Struthio camelus: one gene and its partners. The protein of the gene in region 1 interacts with the protein of each later gene in a biochemical or structural test. Links are inferred from orthologs where the notes say so. Each region holds a gene or a part of one and is shown on either strand. Other genes may lie near its edges. The genes, in order: WWP1, WBP2 and KLF5.

Region 1 (7,915 bases):
TTAAAGGATATTGTGTTACCAGTAACTTTCACCCCTCCTCTTCTGCCCTTTTGAGGAAGCAGAGTTTTTTTAAACCAAGTTAAAAGAAACTTCCATTCATTACTTAAGGAGGGCTTACAAGAGACATTTCTTAAAGTTCGCACTTGTCTATCCCTCCATCCATTCCCCCTCCAAGTCTTCTTGCTTCTTTATCTGGATTCTAGTCAAATAAACTCTAGAATGAGCTTCTGTTTCAGCAAAAAAGCTAACCACGACAGTTTGGCCTAATGGCATAAATAGTAACCATTTTTAACTAATAAGTATGGCCTAGTTCATGAATTTTTGATTAAAGTATCTGAGTTTTGAAATGCAGGGTTTTATTGGCATAGAAATTTGGGGAAAAAAATGAATAAACTGAACACAATACCAGCTTCCCATCACAGATGATGTTTTTTGGACACAGAATAGTAGAAGGGAAAGAAGAATCTCTTTCCCACACACACATTCTTTTCAAGAGTAAAAGCAGAAGAGTGACTGGGTAGAAATTCCAACTTATAATATGTGTATGGAAAAGAAAGAAGGACACAAAAAAAAAGAAAAAGCAACAGAATTGGCAGGCACTCCTCCATCTTCCAAGGGTTCCACAGAATCAGGAGAGGGGATTGGCTCTGAGGCCTGTGGGTCTTCCCACAATTTAAGAAGCGCTTGAAGACAGGTAGTTATTTTAACTTTATTGCCAACCCTTTAAAAAAAGGCACAAAGTTCACTTACAACCTTTTGTTCATTGATATTTAGCAACAAATGTAAATTAATTTCACCCAAAAAAATAGTTTATATCCTTTAGGTAACAAGGTGTCCCATGCTGACAGATCTCACCCTTGAGTATTTAAAACTGCTTGCATGATTTCAAGTAAAATTATGTATTTAAGGGAACTAATCTATAGTATCATTGGAAAAAGACTACTGATAGGAAGATCTACTAACAAGAAGCATTTACAGGATCAGATATTTAAACGAACACTTAAAACGGGGCCCAAAGAAGTAACAGAAGGATTCTGAAAACACAGATTGGTTTATAACCAACATTAGTTCAAAATATTTCTAGCTGTCCTATTTTAAAGCACCTTTGACAGCTTTCCAGATAAACTGCTTTTACAAGCTGTAAAATCCTTCTTAAAAGAATGAAAATCCCTAAGATTTTTTCTACGCAAATTTCTTAAATCTTCACTATTAAAAATCAATGAGAAATAATAATTCAGTTCATATGTCCATTTACACAGACTCAGATAAGACAGCACATAAAATTTTAAAAAAGCCCAAGTGACAAGTTGCCACAGATCATCACTAAGCAGTTTATTCCTATGTAACAAAGGGATTAAAGCAAAACATAAATTTTAAGCAGAGATTGTTATTATTACTATGAAGGCTATAAATATATATATATATATATATATATGCATGTATCTCATACATGTGAGGGACAGCCATATTTAACCCAACTGCCTGCATCCAGTGAGAGTATCATTTAGCAAGCCAGTGTTACTAAACTTGCATAACTTGAGTTTTTTAATGCAAAATATCCTGATGATTTTCTATTGGACGCAGGAACTATATGAAAATATAGCTGAAATATGAAGAGATCCTTTTTCAGAGTTTAATTCAAACATTGAAGGGCTCCATTAAAATTATTAGACAGGGTTAACTCCTTTTCTCTCTTTGACATACAGTTTAAACATTTATAGACCTGGAAGCAGAGTGAGATTACCACAGTTTAACTTGGAAGAGAACTGGTATTGTTCCAAAAATAAGACACATACTGAAAAATCAGGTAAATGAACACTTATGCTAAGTTGTAGGATCTTGTCATAATATAAACAAAGATCAATGACATGAATAAGTGTTTCAACATCTCAAATTCACACGGTCTTTTCAGCAAATCTTGCATTAAGAGAATCAGAGAGACTCGCAGACTTCAGCAGTAACAGTGATGACTTCCAACCCAGCCTGTGTCCCCTCCTGCCCCCTACACATCCTGTGAGGGATGATGATGATAGGCTGTGGGGTTACAGCAGCTCACTACAGAGGGGAGACTGCTCTTCACCTCCTCCCTCCGCTGTTTCACCAAAGAAAGGTGAACCCGAAACGCAACAATATCTTTCTCCTTTGCCTTCAGCTGGCACAGAATCAAGCAGGGTCGACCCCGCAACTGGTTCACTGCCTCCCAGATACTAACACCTCTCGCAACCCACTTGGCGTTGACACGGGTCAGGACTCAGCCCTCAGTCGCCCTCTCTCAAAAGGCCATAGACAGGAATAAACAAGGTTATTCGCCTGACATCGGATACCAGCCACACTCCCCGCTCCTTTCCCCCCCGCCCTGTACCTCCACAAGCCCACGAAAGTACCGACCCTGCTTCCCGGGCCAGGTGTGGGCCAAGAGGCCCTCCGCCCTGTCCAGACATGAGCCGGAGGGGAGGGGGGGGACACGGCAGTCCTCCCGCCACCAAACGGGGAGACTGAGGGAGGGAGGGGGAGAAGCAGCCGTCGCCACCCCCTCCTCCAGCCCCAGCAAGGCCCAGGGTGTGCGACGAGCTGAAGTGCCGGAAAGGAGAGAGAGACCAAGACCTCGCTACAGCTCCCTTCGCCATTTTAGCCCCCACGCCCATTCCCCTCCTCCCCGCCCCTCCGTGACAGGGGCAGCGGGTACCCGTCCAGAGCTCAACCCCCCACCCCCCGCCCTGGCCGCCCCCGCTCCCCCCCAGCCCCACCGCGGCCGCCGCAAAGAAGACAGAGAAAAACTGCAGCCGTTTTTCTCCTCAGGCCGGCCGGGCTCTGTCAGGCCAGATCGCAGAGCGAAACGGCTGCGGCGCAGCCTGTTTTGTTTCCTTACCGTGGTTCGCAGCTTCAGAGCTGCTGCCGCTGCCGCTGCCACCTCCTCCTTCTTCTTCTTCTCCTCCTCCTCCTCCTCGCCGCCGCGGCTCCTCACCCCTCCGCGCCACGCTCCGCCGCCGCCGCGCAGAGTGATGCCATCTCACAGCGGCATCGGCGGCTCGCGCACAACAACCCCCCTCCCGCCGCGGCTGCTCCCGCCGCCGCCGCGCGCCCCCAACGGCCGCGCCAGCCTCGTGCGCGCGCCCCGGGCAGCGGCAGCAGGAACTTGTGGAGCCGCCGCTGCCGCCCGGGCGAAAGGGCCCCGTCGGAACCAAGTCGTGCGCAGCGGCAGGCAGGCAGGGAGAAGGCGAGTCTAAAGCGAGGCCCTTCGGGAGGGAGAGGGCTTATTCCTAGCGCCTGCCCCGGGCTGAACCAACTTGGGTGCTGCGACGGGGAGAAGAGCCGAGCGAGCTGAATCAAGCCCTGCGTAAACAGGGGAGGAGCGGCCCCGGCCCCCAGCACCAGGGCCCCGTTCCCGGGGGAGAGCGTGCACGGGCAGGATAAGGGAGGCTTCTGTGAGTCACTGCCCCCCGAGAAAGCCGCTCTGCGCTGAGAGCCAGCACACCCCGGCGGCGAGTAAGTGATAAGGGAGGGCTGCCTGCTCCAGCCGCCTCCCTCCCGGGCTGCGCGCACAAGGAGGGCCGCCGCTACTGCTGCTGCTGCAGCCGCCCCCGGCCGTCACACCCTCCCCGCCCGGTCGGGAGCAACCAGGATCCGCCTGGTTGGTCTCTCTCCCTTTGCATAACTTCTACTTTTCCTATACTTAGGATAGAGGAGGAGGGGGGGAGGGAGGTCGGTTCCTCCCCGCCCTGAGGGGGGCTGGAGGGACCGGTGGAGCAGCAGCAGCAGCCCACGACGGCCGTTGGGCAGCTGGCAGGCGGGGCCGGCGCGCGGGGGCCGTTAGGGCCGTTAGGGCCCTGGGGAGGGGGAGGGGTGGTTACCTGCCGCCGCCGCGGCGCTGGCGAGGACTCCGCTAGAAAAGGCCCGGGCGGGCAGGCGGGCGCTCCCCGCAGGCTGGCAGCCGTGCGAAGGCGTGAGGCGCGTGTCTTAACGTCGGAGGCCGAGGAAGCTTTAGCTCCATACGGGACGGTATGTGGAGGCAGTGATAACGTGGACTTTCGGGTATGAGCAAAGCCTGGGAGCGGTAGCGTCGGAAAAGTCTAGCACCACCGTTAATTGGAAGGAAGAAAAGCAAACGCCAGGAGACCTTGCAGGAATTTCTAACAAAGTCTGGTATTTTGTTGCTTTTTAAGAGACGAATGCCCAACAGCCTCATCTGGGCATGTATGTTCCTTCACAATACATAAGCGAGTATCTTAAAAATAATACTTTCCAACCTATTCGTTCTTTATACAAAATCAATAGGAATACCACAAAGTCTAGGGGGTGGAAACAAAAGGTTGTGGTCTGTTCAATTTTAGGAAACATCTTAGACTAGACTTTTATAAAAGTCTAGTCTAGATCTTCTGTCAGAATTCATCATGGGCAGTAAGATTAGCTGTTTTCAGTTAACAGTGTGATTAATCCATTTGATATGAAGAATTCAAGAAATATAGTTTTCTCTACATCAGCTAAAACTTTTAAAGAAGATTACAATCCTACTTGTGTCCTGAGTTTGCCCCAAATTAACTACTGACTTAAATTAGGAAACCAATATTGCTACCCTTTGGTGACGCTTTGAGATTCAGCTAGTAATCTCCAACAATTTTTCCTTCCTGTTTTAATTTGTTGTAATGTAAAACAATCTAACAGAAATATGCAGAAAAACATCTGCACTTTAAGTAAGGACACTTCTTAATGGGGAAATAAGTTTATATTTAGGAACTTACCGTTGAATGCAACATTGCATTCCCAGCAGCCAATGGCAGGTGAAGGTGTAAACGGTAAATATGCAGCAGCTCCACTGTGGTTTACAGTAAAAAAAAAAAAAAAAAAAAAAAAGTTTGTAATGACACAGAGGATAGTGATTATTGCAAGTTTCTTAAGATGGATCAACTCTTTTCTCAGTCTTCTGTAATGTAAAGAAAGGCTGAAGAGAGGAGGAATTTGTTTTAATAGTATTCTGTGATTCTTGCTTTTTCTGATTCTGCTCTGCACATAAGCTGTTAATAGTTCTACTGAGGTTCTCCTCTTTCTAGGCTTTGTTTGTTGCTAATATAAGTAGCCTGATATGAATACTTGAAAAATATGAACATTATTATTTTTTGAGTAGATTATATATGTAAAATTGCTAGGTGCTTTTTTTTTTTTTTGCTGTACAAAACAATATTTTATGCAGAAGTTAGGCTTCTCTGGTTTGCCTCTTCCCTGTTTCAAAACAAGCTTTGTCATACATTTGTCTCACCCTGGGGTATAGTGACATCCTAAGTATTAGTCCCTCTTAAAAGACATTTGATACACTTATAAAAGCAAAATGTCCCAAATTTATTAATATCATAAGTTTACTTTTAAATATCTCATAAAACCTCAAGATTCTTTCATCTTTCAACTAGGTTTAGGGCAATAGGTAAAAAGTAGTAGTATATATGTAAGGATTGGAAACCATACATTGAAAACTAACTGAAAACATTTAAGTTATACTTTGTTAAGAATCTGAAAAAGTACAAACACAACTTTCTTCATTTTGCAGACAACCTTTGTTTCTTCTACTGCGCAGTGATCAGTAAAGACTACTGGTTCTGTTATACAGTGCTGAAGGCTAGGAGGAATGAACTTAAATTACTAGTTATCTCATTAAGCATGTAGACAACCATAGCCTGTTTCAGATGTGTTGTGTGAAACTCATGTTACAAGAAATATGTTTGTTTGTCTGTTTTTCTAGTTGCAGGTTCAGTTGAGGCAGTGCTTCAAAGCTTTACTGTTATTTAGGCGGCTGAAATCTACTGCTGACCTCAGATAAGGTCTCAGAAGTCACTACATATGTCAACCAAAGTTTGAACTTCACAGAAGTGGTTGCATGAGGTTTTACCTGAAATACAATATAAAAGCAGTTTCTGTATGCAGTATTCTTGAGGTAGTCATTTACAAGTTTACTGAATAGTTTTAAAAAAGTCTCCTAGGGTATCTTTCTGAGTTTTCTCCCCTGCCTTTTTCCCTGCAAAGTAAGGACAATTTTGGAGAACTCAGAATCAAAACTGAAATCTACAAAATATGCTGGAGTATGTAATACTTAGTATAAAACTTAGATATTTATAGATCTTTTTGTCTGGAGTGGTTGAACAATGTACATTTGGCAAGCATGAATTTCAGGATGGGGTTTTGGAAAAGGTAGGCTGTAGCAGACTGGTGTGTCTACTGGTTGGCGTTGTATCTTGCTTTTCAGAGAACATTGTTGTTCCTCCACACAGAGGATTAGTAGTGAGCGTTGCTAGCCTTTAACTAGAAGGCCAGTGACAATAGTTTTGTTCAAACTATACTTGTGGAGAAATCTTCTAGAACTTGATAGGGATGAAAGCTGTAAAATTCTAAATGAATGTCTTTACTAGCACATAAAATTAATATATAATAATATCCATTTAGGCTTCTGCTCTTTTTTAATTTCTTAGGCATCTTACCAAAGTCCTTTGTTAACCTATAATCTCCTGATAGTAGAGGATGAGGGTGAAACCAAATCTTTCTATCTTTAGTAGACTGAAATACAGGCTGATTTCACCTGAGCACAGGCATGCAGAACTCATCTTTTCATCTTTCTATATGTGTGGTTTGGGTGTTTGAACTGAGCAGAAGGTTATAATGAAGTCTTAAACGCGAATGGTTAAGTTAGTTCCTTGTGCAGCCCTATCTTCCAGCTGTGGAAAATCCAAAAAGCTCTATTTAATGAGAATAGAGGGAAGATTTCTCTGGCAATTGTTGATGTGTTTTATATGGAGACTTTATTTTACAAAACTCATACAGAATAAAAGAGAACCTTCAAATAAGTTTATTTGGACCATATCCAGAAAAGCACTTAAGCACCTGAAATGGGATTTAGATAGAACTTAAAGTTCTACCTTCAAGAGCACAAACCACAGAACCTTGTACCTGTAGTGGCCCAAGTCTTTCGATGGTTGTAGCTGGCATCTGTAAGCATGTACAGTAAGTAGTTAATGTCTTGGTTGCACCAAAAGAGCTGATGCTTGACTTATGCCTGTATTTGTTTAGGATCCAGAAAGTAGGTCAGGCATCATCTAAAATCCCTCGCGGACTGGATCTAGGAAGCATGGTTAGAGCATGCACACAAAGAATCTGAATTTAACCAAAAGATTCTATAGTTGTGATAAAGACAGAAGCAGAGGCAAACATGATAGCAATGATCACCAGGCTACAGAATCACCATGATTAGAGAACTTGGGACCTGGAAAACCTGCATTCTGTGCCCTGCTCAGCTTTAGTAGGTCCAAACCAGTCTCTTTTCCCACAGCAGTAGCATCACCAATAATTTTTTTCTGATTTGGAATCAGGGCATTCTTCATCCCTCCTCTGCTGTCTGCATGCAGCTTCACAGAGGCACATTGGCAGAGTGCACGAGAGTATTGCTGAGTGACCCAGCAATTAGGAAACTTAGCTGGAACAGGTGGAAAGTCTTAGTTTCTGATCTGTCTTCTCACCACTGTTTGCACATTTTAACCAATAGCTTTTCAATGCACAATACTGGTTCCTGTTCCAGGACTATAAACACTCCCTATAACAACTGAATATCTTCGTTGGCATGCTGTCAATGTCATCTTTTTCTCTCATTGCATAATTATTACATTGTGAAGTCAGGCTGAGTAAAATATAGCCATATATACATTTATATATATAAATACATATATATAAAAAAGTGTATATCTCTGTAAAGTTATCAAAAATATATCGTCATTACAAAATATCTCCTTTATGTGGGAGGTAAGGAGCAGCTTTTTGTCGTAATGGTGGTATATGGTTTTTTTGACATACTTAAAGTAGAATCCTGCTTTAGTCATTTTTTTAATGTGTATATTTTAAAGCCTCTCTAGTTTTGCAATGGTTAGGGAATTTGCTGTAA
Region 2 (7,841 bases), on another chromosome or scaffold:
ACAGCCCCTTGAAGACTCCTGAATTTCAAAATAGCCTGTTCTTTCCCCAGAAAGTGTCGTTTTTACTGCTAAGATACACTGGTGCAATAACATGCCTTTCCTTGAACTGTACAAGAAACTAATGACAGAGAACAATACTCTGGCGATCTGCATCTGAAAACCAACATAGGTCTTGGAAAGAATCAGAAGCGTTTTGCGTAGAAGGATCTGGATGAAGAATTAATAGATAACCCTAACTGACCAAAACTAAATGATATCCTCAGTCTTGCTGACACAGTCTGATCTCTGCTCCGATGTTCAGTCAGTGAGATCACTTGGCTGACTGAACTTAATATTTTGTACAGAGGGCAGGAATGAGATCAGTTACAGAACAGATCTCTTCATTGTAACTGTACAGGAAGCAGACAAGGGAAATATTTTTAGCTACTGGTTTTAAAGAAAGAAACACATTTTAGCGGGACTGTAAAAATCCATCTGGTCAGTATCCAGTTTAGGTCAAACTGGATACTTACTTCGCTGTGAATTAGATGTTCTCCATCTTAGTTCAACTGCACGTCTGTATAATACATACCTCCTGCCTCTGCTTTCACTGTACCCTTGATATAATTTGCTCCAAAAACAGGCTGCTTAATCTCACAATCTTTCAACAAATAAAAGGGCATCATGAAAGACTGCATAGCATCCTTTCCCTTTGATACAAAGATAACCTGAAAAGAAAAGAACATCACGAAGAGTGTTTAAAACAAGCAGGAAACACAGTTGAACTTCTTATTTGAAAAGAGTTTTCAATGCACTGAAGCTGCTTCCCACATCTGAAACTTCTAGTCAATTCTGCAAAGAGCAACAAGGCTAAACTAAAGCTTCAATGCAATAATGTAAAGTGCCTTCTAGAAACGTTATCCTTGCTCAGATAATACTCCTCCCAATTTCTAAAGAACTCCCAGCTCCACACAGCTATGATTTAGTAGCTTAACTGTTACATTCAGCACTTCCAGACCACTGCTAATTTCCAATCTTGAAGATGCCTGATAGAGTAAGCAGCTGTCTGTATAAGAACTAATCAGATTTTATCATCTTTTGACAAAGTGACTGGACGTGCAATGAATTCATAATGCTCCCCAGAGGGAGGGGATGAGCCATACTTCAAGCGGCAGTAGGTTATCCCAACTTTCATGCACTGAGAACATTTAAACACAGAATTGAAAAGAGCTCTTATCTCCTTAGGCAAGATAATGCCTTTTACTACTTACTCGGTAGGGAGTCAAGAAAACACTCCCTTTCTTGGTCCCTTTGAAGGCATCTGGCATAGGTTCGATATCACTGAAGGAAACTTCTATGTGATCATAGGTCATCAAAACGCTACAAACAAGACAACAAGAGAAGAGACACAGTGTTACAGCTCAACACTGTGGTTCAGCATGAATATAGTCTATTGACCAACCAAAACGAGCTTTAATCTCAGCCAAACGCTCAGCAGATGTATCAGTTTGACTTGTTTTTTTGTTGGCAGGAACAACTTAAGCAGTACTATCTACTTGTTCCCAGCCTTGTGCTTCTTCCTCAGTGTGCTGGCACTGCTACAGCCATTCGCATAGGCAGGTAGTGAATCTAGTCAATTAAACTGATCAAGATCTGATTTTTGTTTTTTTAAAAAACTTGCGTTGCATTTCTGCTGGATCAGTTCCCTAATTTGGTTTGCCACAAGCAACACAACAGAGGAAGGAGTGCAGAGGCAGGAACTGCTTAAGCTGGCTTATGCGACAAGGCTGTTGAGCGTCTAACCTCAGCTTAAGCACTTCTATCATAAAAACGCAATCAGAGGAACATCTCTTTTTTGTCACTAGAGTTTGTTAACCTGTGGTGTCCGCCCTGACTCCTTAATGCTCAATTAGAAACTGACCCGGTTAAAACGGGTGCAACACCCTTCTATGGATGCAGAAGGTAGCAGGTATTAACACAACATCCACACTAGACACGCTAACATTCAAAGCTGGACAAGCCTCTGCTGCATTTATCTTTGGCAACGTACATGTTACCATCCCTAGTCATTCGCCTTTCCCTTCTGCCAGTGGGTACTTGCCCCCACAGCAAAAGCCCAGGGAAGGCTGAGGGGGCAGTGGCTTTAGTCACTATACAGCATATGAGCCGAATCAACAATGCGCGCAGCTTGGGCTGCGGCACGGGCACGCATCCGCTTTGCCGGTTATAGCGCAGATAACTTCCGACCCCAGGTAGGCTGGCAGCTGGGAGCACATTAAGCAGCCAGATGTTTTACGTCAGCGAACGCAAACTTAAGCCACAGACAAGAGTTTCCCCGAATTCTCAGAGGAAGGTTCATACCCCTAATGGCAGTCAGGGGCATAACTCCCGTACCAATCTTCCAGCTGGCCTCACGGAAAGGAGCCCTGCGGAATGAACCCCTCTTCTGTCTCGGGAGCAGCTGACTGCCCCGCCGGGTCGGGACCGGGGCGCCGGGCGGGCACACGGGGCGAGGGCCGCCCACCGCCCGGCAGGCGGGGGCAGCTCCGTGGAGGCTTCCCGTTGCGCGGGCGGCAGAGCGGCGAGATGGGGGCCCGGGCTGGGGGGGGGGGGGAAGGGGGGCAACAGCCCGACCCCCGCCGGGGGGGGCACTGAAATGGTTAAACCCTCCCCCCACCCCGCTCCAGGCACGGGGGGCCCCGCCCCCACCCGGCCCGCGGCGCCCTAACGCTTCCCCCCGTGAGGGGAGGGAGGCCGCCCCCCTACTTCCCCGAGGAGATGGCGGCGGGCGCGGTGGGGGCACCTCACCTCTCGCTGTTGTTAACGATGACGCCGCCGCCCTCCGAGTGGTTCCTGTTCAGCGCCATGGCCGCCGCCGCCTCCTCGCAGCACCCAGCCTGCTCTGCGCCTGCGCCCGGCGGATAGCGGCCGCCCGTGACGTCACGACGCGACGGGGCGCGCTTCCCTCCCCCCAGCGCATGCTGGGAGTTGTAGTCCCCCTGCAGCCCAGCGGGCGCCATGTTCCCTCCTCAGCAGCCCTTAGCGCCCCGTGGGCTGCCCGGGACAGGCTGCAGCGGGGGCCGGGCCGGCTTGCGGGGCGCTCCCATCCCTTTTCTGCCCAGCATCAGGCCCCGCGGCCTCGCTCACCGCCTCCGTCGTGCCCCCCAAAGCCCCAGGGGCTCTAGCCATCCCTCAAGGCCTGGCAATCAGTAGGGCTTTTGTACAAAACAAGGGACGTTTGTGGGAGCGGGAGGCGGAGACGCGGCTCCCTCGCACCGCGCCGCTCTGCCTGGGCCTGAAAGCTTGTCTCTGTTCCCCAGCTGCTGAAGTTAGCCTCCTAAAATACGCTACCTCTCCCAGCACGTTCATGCCGACAACGGCTCGCCCTCGCTAAAAGCGGGAGCCCCGCCGGGCTCGCGCGTGGCCCTCAGGGCGCCCGCCGCGGCTGAACGGGGAAATGTTTGCGGTGGATACCGAGGCGAACGACAAATTCCTCCCCGCGCTGCCCGGCGGCACCACGTGCGCTTGGTGCCTTACAGATATTCTAAGGGATTCCAGCCGAGAGCCAAAAGTCAACTGTTTTATAATCGCTTTATACTCAATATTACTTTTAGTGGGCTAAAAGTCGCCGTTCATATGTTATTAAACCCCCTCTTTATGCTCTCTGCAGGGAGCAGCAGGGATAATCCGAAGATCCGCTCTCCTGCTCCTCGGGAGGACTCTCTGAAGCGCTGAGAAACCTGTTAATCATCTGGTTACATGTCCCTCTCACCGTATATAATAACACGGTTTAAGTTGTTTGGAGCCTGCTTGACTCGGCCGCGGTCTTCCTGGCTTCCCGTTTCAGACGGCTCCGTGGCGTTCGCACGGGCGCCCTGGAAAAGTTGCGCTGCCTGGGTAGGAGCCTGCAAAGCAAAAAAAAGCAAAGCAAAAAAACCTCTGGCACTGCTCAAATTGCCGTTTCGTCCTAAAACGCTGTATTTTGTTGCGGCTTGCACCGTCGCTTTTTCCCGAAGGCGTTTCCAGGCCAGCCCGCTAGCACATGAAATATTCGCTTTTCCTGGGATGTCGTCCAGTTTAACATGTAAAGGGGGAGCTGTTTGCATGCCACGTGCAACCATAAGTGATTTTAATGCTGCTTGGCAGGATCTCCCAGGGAAAAGCCAGAAATAAATGAAACGGAGACAGAATTGGACTCTCAGTAGGTGGCCAGGGCAAATTCAGGTATTTGGTAATGCAGAGTAAAAAAAGCATCTCAGATAGCTGGTGATGCTTTATCTAAAATGAGGCCCAGTGCCTTTCACAGCAAGGATGCGTAGAGTTTCCAACTGTTTTTCAATTCAGATGCTTGACGCACACGTTGTGTTACAGATGCTTGCAAACAGACTTTGGAGCCCAATATTAAATGCTCTCTGTGCAGAAATCACCCTGCTTTTGGTTTGTAAAATTAAGCCTTTATCTTCAAGAGAGTTAAACTGAAGGGACTCTAAGGCACGTCTGGAAGAAATCTGGGAACAGGAAAATATCTGTGGCATTTGCATAGCTATACTATGAGTATAGTCTACTGCCTCCAGGTGGGCAAGCAAGGAGGTGGGAGTAACTTTTAAAAAATTATGGTTGCATACTTTTGTTTAAAATAGAAGCCCTTTAAAGCTAATCAATCTGTTCTGAACATTTCTTCATATCAATAACCTATATACTATGCAAATATATTGATAACATATATTTTTCTAAATTACTTTTAATGGATTTGAACTTTTCCCTGCAGGGTTTGCAGCCCAGCCCCCTCCAGCCCTGCCTGAGCACCTAAGAATCAGATGGAGTAGGGGAAAGGAGAAAAGCTGCATAATGGAAACCAGATTTAAATAAATGCAGTGACATAATCTGTATAGTTCTTGGCAAGAAAAAAGCAAAGTTGTGCTTTTCATATCCGCTTTTTAATAAGCTGTAAGTTTCCCTTTTAAGAAACTGTTATAATAAACAGTCCTGATTCCTCTCCTATTAAAGGCAGTAGCAAACATCCACTCAGCTTCCACTGAAGTTCCCAGCTGAAGCACTGCCACCTCTCATGAGTCACAGCTTGCCCGATAATGGTGTTTTTCTTGTAGAGGTTTGGTATTAAGAAACTCAGCCTTTGTTTAAAAAATGCTACTGGTACAAGTGCTTGTGTGCGTGGAGATCTCTGGACCGCCTCATTACATAAAAAACGTTGGAAATTTACACTCTAAAAACTTAAAACTCTAAGGAAAAAAGTGCCTAAACTACTTAATTTCATTATTGTTAAGCTGAGGACAGAGGTAGAAGAGACCCAAAGAGAAAAGTGAGACAAGTTAATATTTTGAATTGCCCAGGACTGGCAATATCACTATTGGATTCTAGGATTCTTCCATTCCTTTTGCAATCGAGCAATAAAAATAAATATTTGGCTCAATTCCTTTTGACACACGTGGAAAATAAAATCTCTTGTTATTTTAAGCCAGATGTACAGGACACAGAAAAATAAACAGGAGGTAATCGGACAACTCTTCTAGTTTGGTATTTAAAGGAAAGACAAACCAAGAGCTATGTCTGTATAATATTTAATGGCAATTCATAGTCTCTAATATCATTATATTATTCCGTTACAGTTTCTTCACACACTGTAAAAGACTCTACAGTAACTGTATATTTAAAAAATAATCCTAATTAAAAAGAGGAACACTCTGTGACAGCAGAAATAACTCAGGAGAACACAGAAAGGCTATTTAAATTGCACAGTGCTATCTATCTAAACCCACCACACTTATCCTTTCATTTGCAGCAAAAATCAGAGATCCAGGGTTGGTGTAATGCACATTTCCTAATCATTCCAGTTTACACCACAAATTATTGGGAAGACAGGATCAACGTGTCTGAGCAAACTCTGGTCCAACAGCCTGGAGGATTGTTCCCATCTGAAATTGTTTAGAATTTGCTTTATGCCCTGAAACATGAGGATTTATAGCACTTTCAACCAGAATGAAAAGCAGCAACAGGAAGGGGAGGTTTTGATAATGCTTTCCAGCTGCATCACATCTACAGAAGCCCTTGAAATCCTCTGTAAAGCTGTGTATCCGCATCCCAGCTAATGAGGCAAAGATGAATTAAGCAACTGGCCCTCGACCGCAGAAAGCCAAGGCACCACCGGAAGCAGAGCCCGGACGCACGGCAATTCCCCCTTGGCAACAGGGACAGAGAGGAAAGGGAAAAGCGTAGGATCCCTCCAAGCCATCCCAGACCCTGCAGGGGTTCAGAGACTTGCATCTCCGCGTTGGGCGCGATGGAGCAGGGAGGGCTCCGCGGCTCCCCAAGCGCGCGGTCCCTCCAGGGTGTAATCGAGCTGCCTACGGCCATGCAAAACAGGGCAACGGCCCAGATCTGCTCTGTTTACTCTGGCAAAACTCCTCGCTGCAAACGGTGGGAGTTTCGCCTGAATAACAGTCACATTTGGGGCCCAGACAGAGCCGAGATGTTGGCCCACAAGCAGGATCTCTTCCTGCAGGCGTTCAGCAGAGATCAAGGTTACCTTCCTCTTCCTCTTGGGACACAGCCAAGCATGGGCTGTTGCACATCTCTAGCTCTTTAATCTGGTTACACTATTTCTGATAGCGAGTCCTCCCTGGTGTTAACAAAACAGCACCCATCCCTGTGCTATGTCACCGCCGACAGCTCACGCAAAGGCAAAGATTGGCAGGAAAGGCTGGCGCGAGGGAAACAAAGCGTTTTTGAGGCAGGAGCTCAGGACGCGAGGAGCACAATCCTGTCCGGACACGAGTCCAGGCAACATTCCCACTGACCAGCAAAAAACCGAGATTTCATCCGAAGATTTAGCGCTGAAAGACATACCTTCCCTTTTCCCACCGCTTGCAGGGTTTCAGGGCTCACCGCCTCCACCAGGTCCGAGATACGGGCCCCGAGAGCACCTAGGGCAACGACGGCTGATCCTTCCAGCCCTCCGTCCCCGTGCCCAGGGCACGGGGCGGCAGCAGCGCTCGGCGGGGGGCTCAGAGCTGGCACATCAGTCCGCCAGCTGCATTCGCACCCTCCCGTCCTCCCGCTGGGACCCGATAGCGGTGGTCGTCGCTGGCACGTCCAGCTTGGACGCGCCGCGGAGGTGGTAGCTTTGGCAGGGGGACGGACGGGCAGCCGGAGAGCAGCCCCTCTCCCTGCGGTAGCAGGATTTGGCAGCGCCGGTAAATCAGGGCCCTTTGACTAGTTACAGTAAAGGAGCTCTTTAAGCCTCAGTGTTTATGTAAATGCGGCTTTAGCTTTAAACCTCTTGGCCATGTGTCTGCCTTTTCTCCCTGGCTCCCCTTGAATATACTACTATGATTTCCAGCTCATCCTCTGGGAGATATATATTTTTTCATATATATAGATAAATGGGCCATTTTCCATGCCTTTGGAGGCCGATGCGTCATCAGTGACTCACTCATGCCAGAGACGAATCCGACCGATTCGTCGGACGAATCCCTCTCTAGTTATATATTACACAGTACACAGCATTAAGTTTTTGTAAAGCAAGCTTCAGGAGGTAGGTAACAAACTAACCCCAGAAAAAATAAACTTCTAGAAAGGCGCGCTGCACCGAGACAGGGAGCTGCCTGTGCTGCCGTTAGCAGCAGGATTTCCCTGCCGCCGCCGTCACATCTCCAGGGCGGCGGACCTGAAAGAGCTCCTTTAGAAAACGTGAACTGCCATCTAGCCTCAGCCCGAAGTTTCCACCTTTGCCAGACGGGATACTTCCTCGAGAGTTGTTTTTGCTAACTATCACTTACTGCCAGAGTTATACAACCGACATGTAGCTCCCAGCTGTCCCTAAAACACACCGCTTGCCCCCGGGA
Region 3 (7,887 bases), on another chromosome or scaffold:
CTTGTGGGTAAGTTTACATGCCTTCATTTAGTTGTCGTAAACCTTCACTGCTACTCTAACTTACATTGAAAGAAAAATATGTTTAGCTAAAGGATAAAAACAAACCACAAGTACAACCGCACCTAGGTGCTTTTACTAATCTTTCAAACACAGCTTTGAAAGTTTTGCCTTATTTTTAACTGGGTAAAAGAGAAGCTGGCATATAATACTTGTTTTATATTTGTCTTTATTCAGCTTTGCATTAGTGAGTCTCCTTTGACCTCTAGTAGAGAAGAATTGGTTGTTTTGCAAGGTTTATATCTTTATATTCTCAAAAATTATCAAATTCAGTTCTCTGATACGGGAGTCACTATGTTCAGGAGGTTTCTATCTGACATGTTGTGCAAATTCCAGCAACAAAAAAAGGCAAGCTGGTCAAGAGAAAATAAACTCTTCACTCCCGACAGCATGGCAAAGAACTCCTGACAGATTCTGCTGGGAACAAGAAGCTTTTACTCAACTGTCCTAGGGTATACAGGGGGATTGGGAAATTCAAACAAATTTTCTGTACGTGTTTCACAATAAAGCCTGGTCCAAGAGCAAATGCAGATATTTTCCTGATCGTAAGACTGTGCACACTGCAAGAGAAGGGTGGAACTACGTGGCTAATAAATTGTTTAGAGGGGAAAGAAGTCAGGATGCAGTGGGTTTTTTTTTTTATCTAGAACGCCAGGCTGAATTAATGAGGAAGTGCTATTGGTTATTTCAGGAAGAATATCCTTTTCTCTATAGGGTTTATCACAGTATTTTTGGTAAAGTGAAATGAAAAATGGCAACCAGGCTTCCCCTTGCAGTAGAAAAAGGAACACTTATGTAAGCTAATCCTGAAATACCAACGATAAAGGTACACAGCAGTAGACTATCATGTTATCATTTTCCACATTCACTTTAACAGAAAGTTACCCTGCTACATTCCTCACTGTGGTGGTGCTATATTATGTATGTATGTTCTGAAAGCCTGTCATGAGCTAAGATGGTACCTTGTGGCTAGTGCAATCTTGTTTTCAGTGGAAAGTCAGAATGAGAAAAATGACTTTCCTGAGGAAAAAAAGGATCCTACTGGCTGTCTTAGGAAAAACAGAAAGTTAAGACCAGAATCATTTCTTCCCTTGAGGAGATGGATTCTAATGAGCAACTAGAAGTGCAGATGACTACTGATTTTGCAAGTGGAGTATTTATTTCTACTTCTCTAGTTAGTTTATATAAAAAAATGAAGTGGATATTGCTGATTCAGGACAGACCTCTGAATGTGCTAACAGCTCTTGAAATTATTATCGGACATCTTAGTATGGCTTAAAGTCTATCTCAATCCAGTTGAGATCCTCAGATTTCCCTCACCTCATCATTATGAAACAATTTATGCATGCCTTGCCAGTTCTTCCCTCTCTCTCCAAACAGTGCATGCGTAAGTCCCCCTAAATTCTGGCACCTTACCTGCTCACAAGGACAATGCCCGGTCTTCCCTCAAGTTACATCTTGTGTAACCTGTGAATTAGGAAAAAAAGAGGGCCTGTCTACTTCTCCTCCCCCATTCCACCCATTCTGAACTCTTTTGCTCCCAACCATTCTCCCCACAAGGCAGTGCAGTGATACGCCACTGCCAAGCTTCCAACTGCCTGGAACTTGACATTTGTTCTTGTTTTCTCCTGTCTTCCCTAATGGGTATAGCACTACTAAGCGAAGAGGAATGCAAAGAACAAGAGAGTTCAAAGTAATTGAGTCTACATTCATTCAGAATGTCTGGATCCTTGCCCACTCTGAACCTGGAGCATTTAAATAGTTTCAGAAAATTTAACCCTTTTTATTAAACCTGGTAATGCTCTTTCAAGTGCAGAGTATTGCCTTTTTCTCATCAGTAACTAAATACATTGCAAGGTGCTCTTCATATATTCAGCTGTAGGTACCAACCAGTAAGCGTTTTATTTCCTTTTTTTGCTTGGTGGGACAATAATCTTTATGCTTTTATCTATTATATTCTATAATATATTCACATATATATGTTTCTTACATATATCTTATATATCATATATTCTACATATTGCATATTATAACATATATATAATGCAACAGTTCTCTAAGATGCTCAGAGTCGCGTTACAGAAGAACGATCACTTACAGTAATTCCTGAATGCTTCTGCCGAAATTTATATTTACATAAACAGAACTATGCTGGGTTTTAAATAATTCATTTGGCTTTTCTGCTGCAAATCTGTCTATTAAAATATAAACTTACTTCTAACTCTGCCTGCAAAAGCAGTGAAGAAATGGAATTGTAAAAGGATTATAAATGTAAGCTTATATTTTTCTGATGATCAATTATGAACTCCTGTTTTAATTAAACGTTAATTTAGGAGATGCTCTTAGTTAGCAGTTTATTTCTAATTTTCAAATTGTTAAAAAAAAAAGCCTAAAATCTAATAAGAATGAGAATTATTAAAGCATGATACCAAATAATTTTTCACTTATCTCAACATTCTTTTAGACTATCTGTAATGTAAATAGTGCAGCACTGTGCAGGTCAAATAAAACAGTGAATCTGAGTAGGAACAAGAGTTAACCTGACCTGTCTGGTTAAGTGTTAGTGACAATAGAAATGCTAAAATAAAAAGTACCCTTTAAAAATACTATATTCTTTAGTAATCTTCCATTGACCACTGCTTGACTAAAGACTGTTAGCACTGGGCGCATGATTAGCACAAAAACATGGAGAAGGGACTGCATTTGTTTACTTGCAGTTCAGATTTAATTATGTCCTTTCAAAAAAATTAAATGCATGCAAAGCCGCTTCTGAAAATGTTAAGTATATACAGAGCTTTACTCAGTGATACTATTCTAATTAAGCTGCCAAAGTGTTTGCCAGAGCAGGCCCTTTTTAAATGTACATATATAAAACAAAAGCAAAACAAAAAAACAATTCTGAAAGTATCTGTTTATCATTAATTTAATCAGATGGAGGTAAAGCATATAATTAAAGTATGCAAGTCTCAGAAATTAGTACAGCCATACAATTTACATGAATGTCCGAAAGTTACTTATATGTGTGCTGCATGAGATGCTGCCTAGCCCTATATTCCTTCTGGACTTCTAGGACAATTACAGATGAATTAATTTCTGGGTAGCATAGAACAATATTATTAGTTTTGCATTTTTAAAGCTCTTAAGAGAGCACTGTATATCAAATTTGTCATTTCAGAGGGTCACAATCATAGTTTGACGTCTAGATGGGTTTAAACACGGTTACATGAAGCGCCTTCAGACAGTAAAACAAAACAAGGTTTTAAAATCCGTTTGTTAACACACCTGGTTTTAAGCTGGAATGGAAAAAAAGAATTAATAGTGAGGAGTCTTTGGAAAAAAGGATACAAAAGGGATACAAAAGTTATATATCGTATGAATCTGAATATGTGTTAGATTGAAATTAGTCTGCATTACTTTAAATGCTACGCTAAAGGGAGTAGCCGGATCTACCTTGGTAATAAGAAGCATCAAGTGGCTACATATTGCTAAACAGACAGTTGGTGTAAAGAAATGTTATGCTAAACTCTTTCCTGGTTCTGCAATTAGCTTTCTGTGTTCAGACTCCGAAACATCCCACTTGCCACGGACCTCAAGACAAATAGGAGGGGACTGAAAAGCTGACCAAAGAAATACTTTTTACGTTTAAAAAAAGTCTTGTCTGAAATAACAAGGCAGAAACGTGGAGAGGGAAAGGCTGCTCACATCTCTGCAAATTCACAGATTCCCTGTATACAAACCGAGAGTCCAGGGCTGGCACGCAAGATGAAAGGAGGAAACTTTTTTTTTCTTCTAGGCTCCACTTGTGGGCTGTACTTGTCTCATACAAATCTTGCCTTGTACTTGCCTCACATGAAACCTGGATGAAACCGTGATTGATGAAATCTTGTATAGAAAGGCAGCGTCCCACCTTTACTTAAATATGAGGGAACTTAGCTCACTCTCTGATGATTACAATGAAATATGCTTTATGTTGAAACCACACCTAAAAACAAGTAAATAGACTTGCCTCGTCTCAGAGGAAAAAAAAAAAAGTGAGCGAAACAATTGTCCCTATCTCTTTTCCTCTCCCCTTCGTCCTTCTCCCCGGATCTATTTTTATATTAGCATTTTCACAGTAACATAGTGGAGATGTATATTGTAATAATGAAATTTATTAGCAGGAGGTTTTGAGTACGAATTGCCTTCAGGACAAAAAATAATAAAATTTGAGTGACTAGTTTTAAAACCTTTTGAAGATGAAAGCTATGAAAGACGATTATTTAAAAATGTCTACTTCAGAAACGCTTCTTTAAAAGACTATAAATAATATTAAGATATTGAAAGGGGCCTCGCCAGACTGCTTAAACCGCGCGTGTTGAAAGCCATCTCCCACTTTGCCACCCGCACCGCGCGGCATGCCCCCTGCCCGCCTTAGAAACAAATAACCCCAATAAAAATTATCCGGGTTTGTAAAGCGCCAGATCCAGGCGGGACTCCTGACGTTTCAGAATAACGACCAGACACTCTGCCCGCTCCGCCGGGTAACGCTGCTTTCCCCCGAGGTGCTCGAGTCACCGCTTCACGCCGCTGTCAGGAACAACCCGGCACGGGTCTCCCCTCAGCCGTCTCCAACGGCCGCCTCGCGCGCGCACCGCCGTCCAGCCCGCCTCGCGCGCCCAACGGCCGCTCCGCGCCGCCCCCCCCGCCCCGCCGCGCCGTGCTGCACCGCCCGTGGCCAGCGCGCCGCGGGGAGGAGCCCGCCGCGCTCCCCATAGGGAGGGCAGCCCGCAGGGCCGGCCCCTTTCCCCGGGCTGGGTGGGGTGCGCGGGCCGGGGGGGGGTGGGGGGGTGGAGAGGGAGGTCGGGGGGTGGGGTAGGGTGAAATAGAGGCGGGCATGTGTCAGAGGATAGATACCCTCGGCCAGGTACAGGCGGCGGCACTGAGGACACCGGAGTGGATGCGCTCGTGGGCCGGGGCTCGCGGGGAGTGAGCGCCGCGCACTTGCCACCCGGAGCCCCGCCGCCGGCCAGTCCCCGCCGTGTCAGGGCGGCGCAGCGAGGGCGGGCAGCGAGTCCGTGCGCACCCGGGCAGCCAGCCTGCCTCATGGCCACCAGGGTGCTGACCATGAGCGCCCGCTTGGGTCCCATGCAGCAGCCCGAGGAGCCGGTGTTCGCCCAGCTCAAGCCCGTGCTGGGCGCCAGGGAGGCAGCGATCTTCCCCGGAGAGGATCTGAAGCAGCAGCCGCCGCCGCCCCAGCAGCAGCACCAACACCCGGGCGGCGGCGGCGGTGGCGGCGGCGGCGGCGGTGGCGGCAGCGCGACCCTGCCGGCGGAGGAGATGGTACAGGTAGGCAGGGACCACCTCCCCCCGCCGCCGCCGCCGCCGCCGCCGCCGCCGCCCCTCTGCCGCGGTGGGGCGCCGCGCGGGCGGCGGCCGCTGCGGAGAGGCGCTGGGTGGGGCCGGGCAGCGAGCAGCGGACCTGAAGTGCGGGGCGGGCGGCGGCGCCGCCGCACGGCGGGACGGGGGGGTCGGGAGGGGGGGGCCGGGGCCGCCGCCGCCCCGCGCGTGTGGCGGGCAGGGGCGCGGCGCCGGGGCCGCCGCCTTCCCGCCGGCGGAGCGCGGCCGGGGCGGGCCGAGGCGGCCCGCGGCGCGGCCGGGGCTGAGGCGGGGCGCGGGCTTCGCCGCCCTCCCGCCCGTCCGCCCGCACAGGGGCCGAGGCGGGGGCGCGGAGGGAGCCGGGCTGCCCCTGCGAGTGTGTTGAAAGCTACAGCTGCTGCTTTTGCACTTGCCCGGCAGCAGAATTAGAGCAACCGCCTGTCTTCCTCGCCCACGCAGAGAGTCATGTTCAGTGTTGGGGGGGGGGGGGGACTTCCCGGGACTTTCTGCCCGTCCCAGAAAACTGCTTGGAAACGGATCCACATGAAAACAGCTGGAAGAGCTAAAAGCAGAAAGCGCCAACCGCAACCTGATTTTAGCACGCGAACGGTTTTAATTTGAGACTTTTTATTTCCAGACCTCGGCTCTTTCGGTGACCATGAGTCGCTGGGGCGGTTTGCCGCGGCCGCTGTCCTTGCGGGGGGGCGGCGGGGGGCCCCTGTGGCCCTCCCCACCCCGGGGGGGCGCCCGGCCGAGGAGCCCGCTCCGAAACGGGGGCCGGGGGCGGCCCGCTCGGGCGGCAGCGCTGCGCGGTAAACGCCCCGCGCGGAGGGCAGCGATCGTTCAGGCGCTGCGTTTCGGTGATACCTGCTCACGGAATAAATAATACTGTCTTCAAAGCAGGCTGCCCCGTGGCTTGTAAACAAGAGCTGGAAAAAGTAGCCTGGCGTGTTCGGGCAGATCGAGATCAAAGGAGAGGGAGCGCTGCTTTGTTTGTTTGTTTTGTTTACCGGTGGTCTTTGAAGAAAGGTCTTAAAATCCACTTTTGGGCAGACTTGCTGTTTGTCAGCTGCTTTCTCTTTTAGGGTGCTAAACGGATTCGGTATGAGCGCGCTCTTTACAGGGCAAGGGGGAATGTAGCATTTGCCCACTGGAGAGTGCATGATAAATGTTTTGCTGATGACTGTACCAGTAATGTATCAGGCTGTAGCCACCCACGGATTCCCTAGCACCACTACACTGAGGGAATGATTTCCCAGTAATTAAAGAGCTCTCCTAGGACTGAGACATGAATAACGACGTTTGTCACGTTATTAACCAATTATACGCTGCACAGACTTTTTTTAAAAGTGTTAGTGTAGTCCCAGACGCACTTTAAGCAAAGGAAAAGCTAATGTAGGCAACCTGTCCTCTTTTTATTCTGTATGATTTATAACTCTACACTTTGGTACCAGTCATATTTATAACTTTCTTTTAAGCATGAAAAATCCTAGAAGTATAACATCACATATATGTGTGTATGTATATATATACATATATATACATACATTGTTTGAAGTATTAGCATTCAAATAGCCAGCTGAGGATGTGGCTTTTGGAGTTAGCATTTCAAAGAGAAATGCATGAAACAGGCAGTAACCTTGTTAGAACAGTGAATTCCAAAGTACAAGATCTGTAGGTGAGTCATGCAGCCTATCGTTTTTGTACGTAGTACTCTCTTGTAGACATACAAGACGAAAAGTTTGTCATAGCTCAGTCTTAACAGTTGTTCTACATTGATGACTCGCACCATCATTTTATCTTGATGTTTTTGATCAGCATGCCAGGTATAAAAGGCAGTTTTTTCGTTAGTGTGAATTGTTTAAAGATTCCTCTATAGGTGACCAGCAGTTGGCTAAACAGTATTGTTTGTTATATTCAAAGTCTCACGTGACTTGAATGCCATCTTGTTTGCTAGCTGATAACGAATCATGTGGATTATCTGTTTTGTTTTTCTAGACGAGATGTGAAATGGAGAAGTATCTGGCACCTCAGCTTCCACCCGTTCCTGTCATCCCTGAACATAAGAAATACAGAAGAGACAGTGCCTCAGTTGTAGACCAGTTTTTCACTGACAGTGAAGGGTTGCCTTACAGCATCAACATGAACGTCTTCCTCCCTGACATTAGTCACCTGAGAACTGGCCTGTACAAATCTCAGCGACCATGTGTGACCCACATCAAGACAGAACCAGTCACTATCTTCAGTCACCAGAGTGAAACTACTGCCCCTACCCCTGCCCCTACTCAGGCCCTTCCTGAATTTACCAGCATCTTCAGCTCTCACCAAACTCCTGATGTGAACAACATTTTTATCAAGCAGGAGCTTCCTACTCCAGATGTTCATCTTTCTGTCACACCCCAGCAAGGCCAGTTATATCAGCTCTTGAGCTCACCGGATTTAGATATGCCCAACACTACTACTCAGGCAGCCGTA

The links.
Region 2: of the proteins of WWP1 (region 1) and WBP2, one has a biochemical effect on the other in vitro, tested with the Homo sapiens proteins (2 studies listed by BioGRID, with this or other methods). The link is inferred for Struthio camelus from reciprocal best matches to the Homo sapiens genes WWP1 and WBP2.
Region 3: of the proteins of WWP1 (region 1) and KLF5, one has a biochemical effect on the other in vitro, tested with the Homo sapiens proteins (4 studies listed by BioGRID, with this or other methods). The link is inferred for Struthio camelus from reciprocal best matches to the Homo sapiens genes WWP1 and KLF5.

The regions. Positions count from the first base shown.
Region 1 is NC_090943.1:152,425,641-152,433,555, forward strand, and holds the start of WWP1 (NEDD4-like E3 ubiquitin-protein ligase WWP1), read right to left. Parts: upstream 3,074-7,915; 5' UTR 2,870-3,073; intron 1-2,869. UniProt on the Homo sapiens protein: E3 ubiquitin-protein ligase which accepts ubiquitin from an E2 ubiquitin-conjugating enzyme in the form of a thioester and then directly transfers the ubiquitin to targeted substrates.
Region 2 is NC_090960.1:8,821,680-8,829,520, forward strand, and holds the start of WBP2 (WW domain-binding protein 2), read right to left. Parts: upstream 3,015-7,841; 5' UTR 3,000-3,014; coding exon 2,788-2,999; intron 1,360-2,787; coding exon 1,251-1,359; intron 708-1,250; coding exon 572-707; intron 1-571. Other genes in the region: E3 ubiquitin-protein ligase TRIM47, read right to left, coding at 3,770-3,884. UniProt on the Homo sapiens protein: Acts as a transcriptional coactivator of estrogen and progesterone receptors (ESR1 and PGR) upon hormone activation. In presence of estrogen, binds to ESR1-responsive promoters. Synergizes with YAP1 to enhance PGR activity.
Region 3 is NC_090942.1:178,477,444-178,485,330, reverse strand, and holds the start of KLF5 (Krueppel-like factor 5), read left to right. Parts: upstream 1-4,862; 5' UTR 4,863-5,139; coding exon 5,140-5,382; intron 5,383-7,410; coding exon 7,411-7,887. UniProt on the Homo sapiens protein: Transcription factor that binds to GC box promoter elements. Activates the transcription of these genes.